Linked DNA regions of Coturnix japonica. The main gene of each other region encodes a partner of the protein of the gene in region 2 in a complex. Links are inferred from orthologs where the notes say so. Each region holds a gene or a part of one and is shown on either strand. Other genes may lie near its edges.

Region 1 (4,201 bases), on a different chromosome or scaffold from region 2:
AGCACCCTCCTCCCTCCCTTGCTGAGTGCCTTTCAGCTGACATCATGTTGTGGGTGGGGAACTGCTCCAGCACAGCCCCACGGGCAGCAGCTCCCCCAGCCCTCCTGCCCCACTGTAGGCTCCTCTCCACAGGCTGCACCCTGGCCTGGGGCTGCTCCGCCTCCAGGACTCTTCCACTGCTGCACAGTGGGCTCCTCCATGTCTGCATACGGAGATCACAGAATCACAGAATGACCCGGGTTGGAAGGGACCTCAAGGATCATGTAGTTCCAACCCCCTGCCTGGCAGGGCCACCAAACATACACCTTTACTAGATCAGGTTGCCCAGGGCCCTGTCCAACCTGGTCTTGAACACCTCCAAGGACGGGGCATCCACAACCTCCCTGGGCAGCCTGTTCCAGGGCCTAACCACTCTCCTGAGTGAAGAACTTCCCCCTGGTATGATAGAGTGCGAGTGCGCGTTGAGGATGCCTAAAATATCTTTCCCTCTTTTTAATCTCTAAAACATGTCCCCCTTAGTCCTGCTATTATCAGCCCTTTCGAAGAGTTTACTCCCGTCCTGGGAGTAAGTTCCCTTCAGGTATTGAAAGGCTGCAATGAGGTCACCCCACAACCTTCTCTTCTCCAGGCTGAACAAGCCCAACTCCCTCAGCCTGTCCTCATAGGGGAGGTGCTCCAGTCCCCTGATCATCTTCGTTTCCCTCCTCTCGACCCTTTCCAAAATCTCCATGTCTTTTTTGTACTGAGGGCTCCACACCTGGACACAGTATGAGAGATGCGAGATGTGCCTGTGGGCTGCAGGGGGATGGCTCGTTCCCCTGTGAGCCTCTCCTGGGTGCTTAGGAAGGGCCTAGTTCAGGTTCTGTGCTTATTTTTGCAGGGAATTCTTGCTGACTCGTGGATTTTTCTCTGTTGAGAATAGTCACAAGGTCTCTTCCTCATTGCAAAGCCATTGGCAGCCATCAGGAAGCAAAGGCAGACAGTGGAGCAGGAGCTGTGACTGAGCACAAACAGCCAAAGAACCAGCGGGGTGGGAGGCAGCCGGGAGGAGCTGGGATGACTCTGTAAGCACACAGAAAAGCAGCAGCACAAGGGTTCTATGGCAGCACAGCAGGGTGTGTGTACTGCTCACAGTCATACACGACTTTAAAGCACAGCTCACACGCAGTGCTGCTGTACCTCAGGGCGGACAGCAGGTGCCACTCAGGCACCAACAGCGTCTATTTCCACTTCATTATCGAACATGGCGGACTCAATTCCGCACTGAGGTAACAAGTTTTTCCGCCTTCCATCTCTATGGTAGTTCCTCCTTCCGCCGCTCCGCTCTGTGGTGGCTGCGCGGCGCCTTGTGGGTAGAGGGCGGGATGATGGCGGTGGCGTAGGGCCCGGCTGCTCAGCGGGAGGAGACCCCGAGGTCAGAGAAGGGGGATTGAAGGGATTAAATCGGGGCTTCTGAATGTGGAGGGTCGGCCCTGGGGTGGTGGGCAGCCTGGGGGGACACCGGGAGGGAGGTTGAGGCCGTGGGGCGGCCTGGACGGGCCTGGGAGAGCGCCGATGGAGGCGGCTCAGCCGAGCCGGCGTTGTGCGGCACTGACGGGGCTGCTCCAATGCTGCGCTGATGGAACCTGATCGGAGCAAACCCCTGGTTGCCCCCAGCAGCTCAGGCTGCACAGGGCTCATCCAACCTGGCCTTGAGCAGGGATGGGGCACACAGCTCTATGGGCAGCTGTGCCAGGGCCTCACCACCTTTTGTATGTCTCTTATTTAAGTCCTTAGGCTGTGCTTATGGATGTGTGTAGTTTCGTTTAACAGACTGAAGATGGCACTGATGGGTCATCCAGGGTGGTTGGTTGGTTTGATTCTTTTGTTTTGTTTGTTTCTTGGTGGACTGCCCTAAACTTTTGGCTCTATGGTTTGGGTCTGCGTGGCCTCCAGCTGCTTTGTGCAGTGCTGAGCACTTCTTGGCATCAGTTATATGGGAGCCATAGTGGTGAGGCTGGTCTCTTTTCAGTAGTGTGTTGGGACAGGACTAGGGGTAATGGGATGAAAGTACAGCATAGGAAGTTCTGCACGAATGTGCACAAGAACTTCTTTACAGTGAGGGTGACGGAGCACTGGAACAGGCTGCCCAGGGAGGTGGTGGAGTCTCCTTCTCTGGAGATATTCAGGACCTGCCTGGACGCCTACCTGTGCGACGTGGTGTAGGGAGCCTGCTTTGGCAGGGGGGTTGGACTCGATGATCTCTAGAGGTCCCTTCCAACCCCCACAGTTCTGTGATTTCATTATTAGATCCTGTGTTTTTTTCCAGAGGGGAAAGAATTACTCTTCTACCAAGATATAAGGATAGGAGACTGGCTCCTGGCATTTTATCCACTTCTATAAACATGACCTCACATTCTTGATTGAGTCTCTATCATCTTTCAGGCATGTTGGAAAAGAAGCTGTCAGTAAAAGAAGCTCTTAAGCTTTAAGGCTCATGCACCAGTTGATAATTTGTATTGTGTAGTGGGATTTGCTGTTGCTGCAGCAGTTCCAAGAATGACGTAGCTTCTGGTGAATGGCTTTCACTTTAAGTTATAGTAATGACTGTTTTTTGCCCTTGACTCTAGTAACTAAAATGACGACAGCAGCGAGGCCAACGTTTGAGCCTGCAAGAGGAGGGAGAGGAAAAGGTGAAGGAGACTTAAGTCAGCTATCCAAGCAGTATTCCAGCAGAGACCTTCCCTCTCATACTAAAATCAAATACAGGTAAGTATCGTTATTGTCTGTCTTATAGCAAAGCAGCCTGGAGCTGTTTTGTTGTTTTCTTTCTTTGTGATGTGACCAACACTCTGAATTTCTTTCACGTTAGATATTTGTTTGCTTGACATTAAGCAGACACAGAAGCAGGCTTAGGAGATTGAGTGGGTTGCAACTGATTTGGAAGGTTTAGTTTTAGTGGTGTCAATAACTGCTTGTGGAAGGGAATCAGGAGAAGGTAATCTTTACAGATTAAGCATTTCAGGCAATGGAGTGAAAAGAAAAGCATTGGGAACATACAGAGACAGCTGAGCTAGAAAGGTGGTGTGACTTACAAGATGGGATAGGAGGTATGAAGTTGAGTATGTCATATATTGGCAAAGAACCTGGGGAAGAGCACTAAGAAGAGGCAGGGCAATGTGTAACAGCACTCAGGCATTAGTAAGTATTGGAAGAGCTGATGTTAAACACTAGAAGGGTTCTAGAAGAGCCTGTTGCTTTAACTGGTGTGAAAGATAATGGGATTTTATATGAATACTATCCTGTGTTTGGAATGCTTAATAATTTATGTTCTTTTAAGATAGCATGAAATCTGGAGTCAACATGCCACAGGATTTAACTGAGTTGTGTCAGCCTGAAAATAGTCTTTTTTTCTAGCTTAAACTGTTGCTTGGGTTTTGCTTTCTTAGTGCAGATATTTACCCTTTCACTGCTTCCCTTCCACCCATTTGAATAACTTTGAAGGTAACATGGATACGGGAGGTGGGATGTTCAGAGATCACCAAAAGCAACAGCACAAAATGTGCTATTAAGGGAAAAGTGGCTGGTGGTCTGTCTCTTTAAACAGAGCGGGAGTGTGGAGCACCAGTCTGTTGTTCTGAAATGAGTGTGTGGGAAGAAATACATACAGGAATATACGATGTGTGTGTGGTAACGAATCCCTTTGAGTGAGTGTGTATGTGTGTGTGAAGGGGCATTAAGCATCTTAAGTTCATTCTCCCAAATATCAAATACAAAGTTGTCTTTGCTAATTTGCCAAGGGCTGCATAATTGCAAGAAAGATTTGGTATTTCAGTCCCACTCTCCCGTGCCTCTTTGACAAAAGGCCTGGGGGGGATTTTTGCAGCCATGTCAGGGATTCTGAATTCAAGTTTTTAATTGTAAAAGCAAATGAAATGCTTCAGCATAAAGACAGCTTGTGCACGCAGTGTATTTCTAATGACTGGAGCCTGGGTTTCTTTCAGACACTCTTATTTCCAAACCTGAGTTCACAGCAAGGTGAAAGGAATTGCTGCATGTTGTTATTCATCAGTTCTTCTCAAGTCTTGCAGAGAAGTCCAGCATGTTCTAGGTGGAACTTTGTGTGACTTGAATGAAAGCAGCCTGTTGATTTTTGCCTGTGTATATTATATAAAAGAGGGGAAAAGATGCACTTGTGTTTTACTAAAGCGACTGTTGTGCT
Region 2 (4,201 bases):
AGTTCGTAGTAACGTTGAGGCTCAATCCTCTGGTTGTTTAGAAAAGTACCATTGCCAGAACCAAGATCAATGATATACGGCTTTACCCTGCGGCCAACTGTGCCATCAGCGCGTGTGTGCTCCACAAGCCTAGAAAACAAAAACAACCCATCAAGTCAATGATAACACATGGATTTTTCAACACATCAGCCCCACTGTTGTAAATACTTAACCATACTTCAAAGATCTGAGCAAGTACAATGAGAATAATTAGACAGGGCACGGAAATACTCAAGATTCTGACAGACTGCTTCACCCCTTAAAGTTATGATCATATAACATAGTAAATCCTGAAGCAGAACAGATGGTTGTTCCTTAAGAGAGCAGCTCTGCCTCCTGAAGCACACAACCCTGCTGTTTATAAAGGAGATCGGCAGCCTTTGTTGGGAAGGAACAAATGAAAAACCCTCCTTTAAACGTTCTTTATTGCCAATCCCACCTGCTAATAACTCCAATTCAGATATACAGGCAGTTCTGTATTTCATCCTGTTGTGTTGTGTTTCTTACTAAAAGTCTAGATATGGTTAAACCAAAAGGAATTATATATATGTTAAGAGTCACGAGGCTGCTTATGGTTAAACAAAAAGGAATTACATATATGTTACATCCATACCTAAATTCCACCTATCTAAAACCATTGAGCAAACATGCATTTTCTAATCTGTGCACATCCAATACGTTCTTTGATTCCCTTTGCACGCAAGCGACCAAATAATCCCCACCTACCAGAGGGATACAGAGCGATACTGACCGGTATTGGAACACAGCGTGTTGCTTTGAGCAGGAGGGATGATCAATGGGGATATCTGCTATCCTGCGGTGCCTGCCCAGGAGATAAGCACTCTGCCTATGAATGTACATGACAGGCAGGAACTCATCGTTTTTAAATGGATAGAGACGCCATCGTTTCTTTGGAATCCGAGCTTCTGGGGGCTCACTGTATTTAATCACAACGCCTCGGAAAGTGTTGGTATCCTCCAGAAGGGCACCAGACAGTTCAAAGCTTGGTTTTTCTTTGTTTACAGCTTTATCTTTTGGTTTGTTATCAGATTGTTTGTGTTCTGGATTCTGCTCAGCACCGCTCCCCTCGTTGTTCTGTCGATGCTCTCGTCTTCTTTCGTTATAGAACTCCCTCTCTGCTTGTTGCTCACGGATGTTCTGAACATCTCTTTCTCTCTCATGGCCTCGACCTCCAGGTCTTTCCTCCTTTTTCCTCCTGTCTGAGTGATCTCTGTGCCTGTCTCTGTCACCGCTTCTATCTCGTCTGTGTTCTTGCTCTGACGTGTGTCTCTGCTTTCTCTCTTCATTTCCTCTGTGAGGATGATCGTCTCGTTCCTGAGGAAGAAGACAGAAAACACATGAAAAACACAGACTGTAACATGGTACGTGTATATCTAGATTTATTTATTTCCTTCCAAAGTGAATTCCCACAACTTGGGCCCAACAATGCAAGGCTGACAGAGAGCAATGCATCATAACATCAGCCTTCAGGGTCAGCCTGCAGGCTGGGCTCACTTAAAGGCACAAATACTCATTTTCTTACAGGAATAACAGGGGCTGGGCTCACTAAAAGGTACAAACACTCAGTTCTTTCCAGGAAAACACGAAGCAGAGAGCAAGGAGATGTTACACTGTAAGACTCTCTCTTCCTTAAGAGTTATTCTAGAGGGATCAGGGGGCTGGAGCACCTCCCCTATGAGGACAGGCTGAGGGAGTTGGGTTTGTTCAGCCTAGAGAAGAGAAGGTTGCGGGGTGACCTCATTGCAGCCTTTCAATACCTGAAGGGAACTTACTCCCAGGAGGGGAGTAAACTCTTGGAAAGGGCTGACAATAGCAGGACACGGGGAAATGGTTTTAAGTTAAAAGAGGGAAGATTTGGGTTGGATGTTAGGGGGAAGTTCTTCACTAGGAGAGTGGTTAGGCCCTGAAACAGGCTGCACAGGGAGGTTGTGGATGCCCCGTCCTTGGAGGTGTTCAAGGCCAGGTTGGACGGGGCCATGGGCAACATGATCTATGGGGTGTCTTTGGGGATCTATGGGTTGTCTGTGGGGCTCTATGGGGTCTGCATGGGGTCTGTATGGGGTTCAGTGGGTCTCTATGGGGCTCTATGGGGTGTCTATGGGATCTCTGTGGGGATCTGTGGGGTCTCTATGGGGATCTGTGGGGCCTGGCCTCTCCCAACGCCATTTACCTGCTTTACCCTCACACCTCCATGGTGCGGACTCCTGCTCCTCCTCCCCCGCGGTGATTTGCTCCTCCGGCCGGATTTACTCTTCCTTTTAGGCGACCTTTAAATCAAGTACACAAGAAATGCACAGAACCTCAGGGTTACGATACAGGGCCGTAATAAGGCCCTATGAGGCCTCCTACCTGCTGCTCCTGCCCCGTCGCTCCTCAATGGGGGGGGATTGGCTCCCATAAGCCGAACGGGACCCGCAGCTCCGTGGGCTGCGCTTCTCGGCCTTCACCGCCATCTCCCCCCTCCTTCTCTCCCTCCTCCTCCTCTCACTCTCAGCCTCCATCTTGCTACCGACTCCCCCCACAACCGGAATTACGTTTTCACATCCGTGTTACCTCTCTCTCAACCACCCGGAACTACATCTTTACCTAACGCTCATGCGCCTTTAGAACAAACAACGGAGCGGCGTTTATAACCATAGCGACCGAGGAGCCGCCATGATCCCACCGCCCGATTCGCTGCTGCGTTATAACCCGCCCATGCTGGTGAGTCGCCGTACTGAGAAGCGATCACCAGAGGTGAGTGAATATGAACCGATATTATGGCCCATGAAGGCCAAAGGAATCCTATATTGTATCAAAACCAGTGTTACTAGCAGCAACAGGGAGGTAATTGTCCCCCTGTGTTCAGTTTTGGGCACCTCACTGCAAGAAAGACATTGAGAATACATTCAGAAAAGGGTTATGAAGCTGGTGAGGGGTCTGGAGCATAATGGGGACTTATAAGAAGAAGCTGAGGGAGATGGGGTTGTTCAGCCTGAAGAAGAGGCTCAGGGGAGACCTTATAGCCCTCTATAACTCCCTTAGTTAGAAGTTAGAAGGGAGGTTGTAGTGAGCCTCTAATCCATGATAGAAGTAGAGGGAATGGTTTTAAGCTGTGTCAGGGGAGAGTCACGCTGGATATTAGGAAGTATTGCTTCTCAGGAAGGGTAGTCAGGCATTATAATGCACTGCCCAAAGAGGTGGTGGAGTCACTGACCATGGGAGTGTTCAAGAAACATCTGGATGTTGTGTTGATGAATATGATTTAGCTGGGAAGTATTGGGAATGGTTGGACTAGATGATCTTCTAGGTCACAGAATGACCCGGGTTGGAAGGGACCTCAAGGATCATGTAGTTCCAACCCCCCTGCCAAGCAGGGCCACCAAACATACACATTTACTAGATCAGGTTGCCCAGGAGACCCCATAGAGACCCCATAGATCCCCCATAGATCCCCATAGATCCCCATAGAGACCCCATAGATCCTCATAGAGACCCCATAGACCCCCATAGAGACCCCATAGATCCCCATAGAGACCCCATAGATCAGGTTGCCCATGGCCCCGTCCAACCTGGCCTTGTACACCTCCAAGGACGGGGCATCCACAACCTCCCTGGGCAGCCTGTTCCAGGGCCTCACCACTCTCCTAGTGAAGTCTTTTCCAACCTTGATAATTCTGTGTTTCTGTGATTCTGAATGGGACGGGGGGAGCCCTCACACCTCACCCATCCTGCTCACACCGCTTTCTCCCTTCAGGCCTCACCGTTGAAGGGAACCCCACAGGCCTCCCCGCCATCAGGCCCTGTCCCTCCGTCCCGACCTCGCACTGCTGCCGCCTCCGCCGCCTCCACGAAGGAACCTCAGGAGATCCTGAACGCCATCCTACCGCCGCGGTGAGCCGGGGAGGGGGGAACAACAAGAGCCTTAACTCAGGACCGCCCCGCCGAGCTCCATCGCTGCTGCTTTCCGGTGCAGGTCATGGGAGGAGGATAACCGGCTGTGGGTGCAGGAGGTGTCCAGTGTTCCCAGCACCCGGCTGGACGTCGTGCAGCTGCAGGAGCAGCTGGATCTGAAGCTGCAACAGCGGCAGGCGAGGGAGACCGGCATCTGTCCTGTGAGAAGGGAGCTGTACTCGCAGTGCTTCGGTCAGTGGCACACTTA
Region 3 (4,201 bases), on a different chromosome or scaffold from region 2:
CTGGCCCTGCACCTGCAGCCGCGTCTTCGTCAGGTCCACGGGGAACGTGCCTGCGGGGAGACCGGCCGTCAGCGCCCCGCCGATACCCGCCGGTACCCGCCGGTACCCGCCGATACCCGCCGATACCCGCCGGTACCCGCCGGTACCCGCCGATACCCGCCGATACCCGCCGGTACCCGCCGGTACCCGCCGATACCCGCCGATACCCGCCGGTACCCGCCGGTACCCGCCGATACCCGCCGGTACCCGCCGGTACCCGCCGCAGCTCACCGAACTCGGCCACGATGGAGGCGAGCCCGCCGTACACGAAGGGTTTCCAGTTCAGCGCGGACATGGCATGGCGGGGCGCGCCGCCGCGCCGGGCCGGACACTGCCTCAACTCCACCCGGAACCGGAAGCGCGGCGGAACGGGAAGCACTGCGCCCCCCAGCCGGGCGGACCCGGCAGCTCGGCCCGCAATTGGGATCCAGCGGCACCGCCCGAGAACGGCGGGGAGGAGACGGGAGAGCGCTGCAGGCACGGGACCGACCGGAACCACCCCGAGAGCAAAGCGCAGCTCAGATCCACTGCTGTGCGCTCCCCATTTCTGTGTCAGCTGCCATCAATGCTCAGTCCAAACAGCACAACCGGACACAAGCAGTGCTCCCAGTCATCTCCTCTGGTTAAAGGATCGATTTTTATTAAAAGGAGTTTAAAACAAAAAACGCCATGAACTGCGATGGCTCAGCAGCCTCTGATATCCATCACATAAACAAAGGAAGCAGGACGGGCTGGGGGCACAAAGCACCGTGCCCGCCTGCAAGCACCCACCGCCCCACTGCAGACAGGGACGCTCCCCCTGAACAACGTGGGCAGTTTCGGTGTCCGTATCCTGCTGCTCAGCACCCCACTGCCCACACTGTGCCGTGAGCCCCTCCACAACCGTCTGAGTGATGCCACTGCACAGAAGGGCCGAGCAAGGCAGCAGCAGAGCCCACATCACAGCCCACAGCACTGAGAGCAACCTGTCTGAGGAGTGAACCGGTCAGAGTGGTGTGTGTGAGACGAGACACAGCTGTGGTACCCTTAGGGCCATAGCAGGAGGCTTCAGACAGGCTCCCGGTGCAGCTCACAGAGCACAGCTGTGGCCCAGAAGGTGCTCACTCCAGGGCTCAGTGACGGCTGGAATCTCTGGTGGATCCACGCTCCCTGTGCTTGGAATGGGGCTCTCTGCTGCTGCTCTCCCGCCGGTGCCTGGATCTGCTTCCCTCAGAACACTCTTCTCGCCAGCTGCTGTGTCCCTCACCCTTCCTGCTGACCTCTCCTCTCTCTTCCCGTGAGCTGTTCTGCCCTCTGTGTTCCTGGGAGCTCTTTTCCCCTCTCCTCCCCGACGACCTTTGGTGTCTCTGCTCTTCCTCATCTCGCTGCGTCCTGCTCACGTGTTTCCTCTCAGACTCACTGCAGGACTGCTGACCCCCACCAGCAGCATATCGCTCGTAGCCAGGATCTTCCTTCTCCTTTTTAATCTTGATTCTCGGATGTGCCTCTTCGGCAGGTGCTGCTCTCTTTGCAGCCTGAGAGCTCTGCTTTTGCCGTTCATGTTTATTCTTCTCTTTATCTGAAACAAAAAGGTCATCCTTAGAGATGGACAGTCCTGCAAGCATCATCCCCACCAGTTCTGCTACAGAGCACCAGAGCTCTGTAGAGAAAGGCTTTATTGGAGCCTTTCTTCTCCCTGTCCCCCACTGTCCTGCCCCCTCCCCCTTGCAACATCCCTGCAGCCCAGCCCAACTCCTTTTCTCCAGGAAGAGTGCCACTATAACCTGCAAAATAAGGATCTCCAGAGGCAGGGGGTGAATGATCATAGATAAATACTGGCAGTGTGACGCAGATCACAGAGGATAAGCCTGGACATTCGGGTTGCATCTGTTTTCAAGAGGATCCCTATCCCTGCTGTACGCTGAGCTAAGAGTCCCTGTAGCCCACACAGATCCTCCCACCCAGGGCAAAGATGGGCAGAAATGCATTTCACCTTTTTGCTTTTGGGCTGGCGTGTCTTCATCCTCCAAGGAGGAATCTGACGACGTATGAGGTGGTGTTTTCACTCCGCAGCCCTTTGCATGGAGGGCTTTTGTGACATCATCTAAATCATCGGAGTCCTTGGGAGTCCGGTAGTTGGCCACGTGGTCCACTCGGATCGTCCTGCCTTTGATCTAGGACAGGAGTCAGGTAGTCAGCAAAGCGTGTGCTGTGGGGCCAGCAGCCGATGGAGCTTCTCTCTGATGTGCTCTGAGCGCTCCAGGAGCTGCTGCAGCCACACAGCTCCATCACTCACCTTGATCCCATTGAAGTTATCAACAGCAAGCACGGTGCTCCTCTGATCCTCATAGCACAAAAAGCAAAACCCTTTGGACTTCCCAGTCTTCTTATCCCGCACCAGATTAATGTTCACCACCTCCCCGTACCTGGAACACACCATCAGCAGCCACAGAGCAGGGCTGGAGGGGCACAGCAAGATGGGGATGGAGCAGGTAGGAACTTACTGCGAGAACACACAGATGACGTCCCCCTCTGTCAGCTGGTAGGGCAGCCCGCCTGCGGGGGGAGACAGGGCAGCGATGGAGGCCCAGCACGGAGCCCAGCACGGAGCCCAGCATGGAGCCCAGCACGGAGCCCAGCACAGGGCCTACCACAGCCCTGCTCTCTCCTCCCTCCCCGTCCCCCCATCGCGGCCTACACGTACCGATGAAGACCCACGCGCTGTCCTTGTACTCGGCGTGCCACGACACCGCCTCGCTCACGCCCAGCTCCGCCTCCCGCGCGTTCAGCTCGTTGATCAGCTTCACTTTGGTCAGCGGGCTGGGGGCGATGCACTCCGTTAGCACCGTTAGCACCGGCCGGTCGCACACCCCCCCCTCACCCAGCCCCCATCCAAACCTACTTCATGGCGGCGGCGGCGCGCACTGCGCATGCGCCCCCCTTACCCCCCCGCCTCCGCCCCCGCCCCGGCCGCGCATGCGCGCCAAGCAAAGCAACGAGTCCGAGGGCTCCGCACAGCTTTATTGGTCGGCGCTCAGCACGGACACGCGCTTTTACCGTGGGCGTCACGTGACGGCTCTAGCTTCTGCGCCCGGCCCGGCCGCTTCTCCATGTCGCGATAGAGCAGCGACTTCTGCGCCTTGAGCCGGCAGGCCAGGCACATGAAGATGGACTCCACGTTCTGGCTCTCTTTAGGGTCCTTGGCCGAGGTTTCGAACAACAGCATGTTGTGAGCGTCGGCGAATTTGAGAGCCATGCCGGACGGCACCTGGATCAGGTCCTTCAAGTCACACTTGTTCCCCACCAGCACTTTGGGGACCAGGGGGGACACGGCGTGAACGTTGCACTCCTCGATCCACATCTTGAGGTTGGTGAAGGACGCCATCTTGGTGACGTCGTACACGAAGACCACGGCGTGCACGTTGCGGTAGTAGTGCTCCACCATGCTCTTCCGGAACCGCTCCTGCCCGGCCGTGTCCCACACCTGCACCTATGGGGCACAACACGGCGTGAGCAGCCATTGCTGCTGCAGGATGCTGTGCTGCTGCTCTGCTCATTGCTGTGCTACAGGGGTGAAAGGCCCCAGCCCGGTGACTTACCTGCCCCATGTTGGTGTACCCAGCCATCATCCCTGTCAAACTGCACACAGCACTGCTCGTGTCAGAACAGACTAACACACCAACCCACCTAATGCTGTGCTGTATGAGGACACTGAAATGATGCTCTGTATCCACAAAGGAGGCAGGGCAAAGAGAGCGGCGTTCCTGCATGGAGCTCTGTCTGGGGGAGGAACCAGGCAAACAATAAGGATTAAAGAGCCGAGAGCCATGGAGACAGGGCAGTGTGCAGCTCCAGCCTGATCAGGGAGAGTAAATGGAAGGTGCCCTCTGCAGACAGATGGGAGTCTCATGTTTGCAGGCTTAGGCCCTTCTGGAGGCCTTCAGCCATTCCAGTGTATGCTGGAGGGGCAACACAGCACAGCTTAAAGCGTGAGATTCCAACTTCAAAACTCAAGTGATAGAAGAGCCAGCGAGGGAAGCTGCTACGCTGGGCCAGCTTCAGCAGGGCAGCTGTGAAGGTAAAGCCAACTCATTAACCAAGAGGTGGCTCTGAAAGAGTCCTGTGGGTCAAGGACCTATAGGAAAATGGGACCAAAGAAAGCTACCCAATACTGATGTGCCTC

Evidence for each region.
Region 1: SNIP1 (region 2) and CWC15 share a complex: the UniProt entries of both Homo sapiens proteins name them as parts of the minor spliceosome. The link is inferred for Coturnix japonica from reciprocal best matches to the Homo sapiens genes SNIP1 and CWC15.
Region 3: SNIP1 (region 2) and RBMX2 share a complex: the UniProt entries of both Homo sapiens proteins name them as parts of the minor spliceosome. The link is inferred for Coturnix japonica from reciprocal best matches to the Homo sapiens genes SNIP1 and RBMX2.

Annotation. Positions count from the first base shown.
Region 1 is NC_029516.1:165,900,323-165,904,523, forward strand, and holds the start of CWC15 (spliceosome-associated protein CWC15 homolog), read left to right. Parts: upstream 1-1,245; 5' UTR 1,246-1,268; intron 1,269-1,302; exon of another isoform or gene 1,303-1,414; intron 1,415-2,609; 5' UTR 2,610-2,617; coding exon 2,618-2,748; intron 2,749-4,201. UniProt on the Homo sapiens protein: Involved in pre-mRNA splicing as component of the spliceosome. Component of the PRP19-CDC5L complex that forms an integral part of the spliceosome and is required for activating pre-mRNA splicing.
Region 2 is NC_029538.1:3,338,202-3,342,402, reverse strand, and holds the start of SNIP1 (smad nuclear-interacting protein 1), read right to left. Parts: upstream 2,586-4,201; 5' UTR 2,562-2,585; coding exon 2,410-2,561; intron 2,328-2,409; coding exon 2,231-2,327; intron 1,375-2,230; coding exon 791-1,374; intron 130-790; coding exon 1-129. Other genes in the region: DNALI1 (axonemal dynein light intermediate polypeptide 1), read left to right, coding at 2,716-2,796, 3,797-3,933, 4,016-4,185. UniProt on the Homo sapiens protein: Required for pre-mRNA splicing as component of the spliceosome. As a component of the minor spliceosome, involved in the splicing of U12-type introns in pre-mRNAs. Down-regulates NF-kappa-B signaling by competing with RELA for CREBBP/EP300 binding.
Region 3 is NC_029519.1:1,522,171-1,526,371, forward strand, and holds RBMX2 (RNA-binding motif protein, X-linked 2), read right to left. Parts: upstream 2,975-4,201; 5' UTR 2,926-2,974; coding exon 2,921-2,925; intron 2,839-2,920; coding exon 2,723-2,838; intron 2,575-2,722; coding exon 2,523-2,574; intron 2,445-2,522; coding exon 2,315-2,444; intron 2,193-2,314; coding exon 2,012-2,192; intron 1,598-2,011; coding exon 1,152-1,597; 3' UTR 644-1,151; downstream 1-643. Other genes in the region: SLC25A14 (brain mitochondrial carrier protein 1), read right to left, coding at 1-50, 271-334; RAB33A (ras-related protein Rab-33A), read right to left, coding at 3,053-3,508. UniProt on the Homo sapiens protein: Involved in pre-mRNA splicing as component of the activated spliceosome. As a component of the minor spliceosome, involved in the splicing of U12-type introns in pre-mRNAs.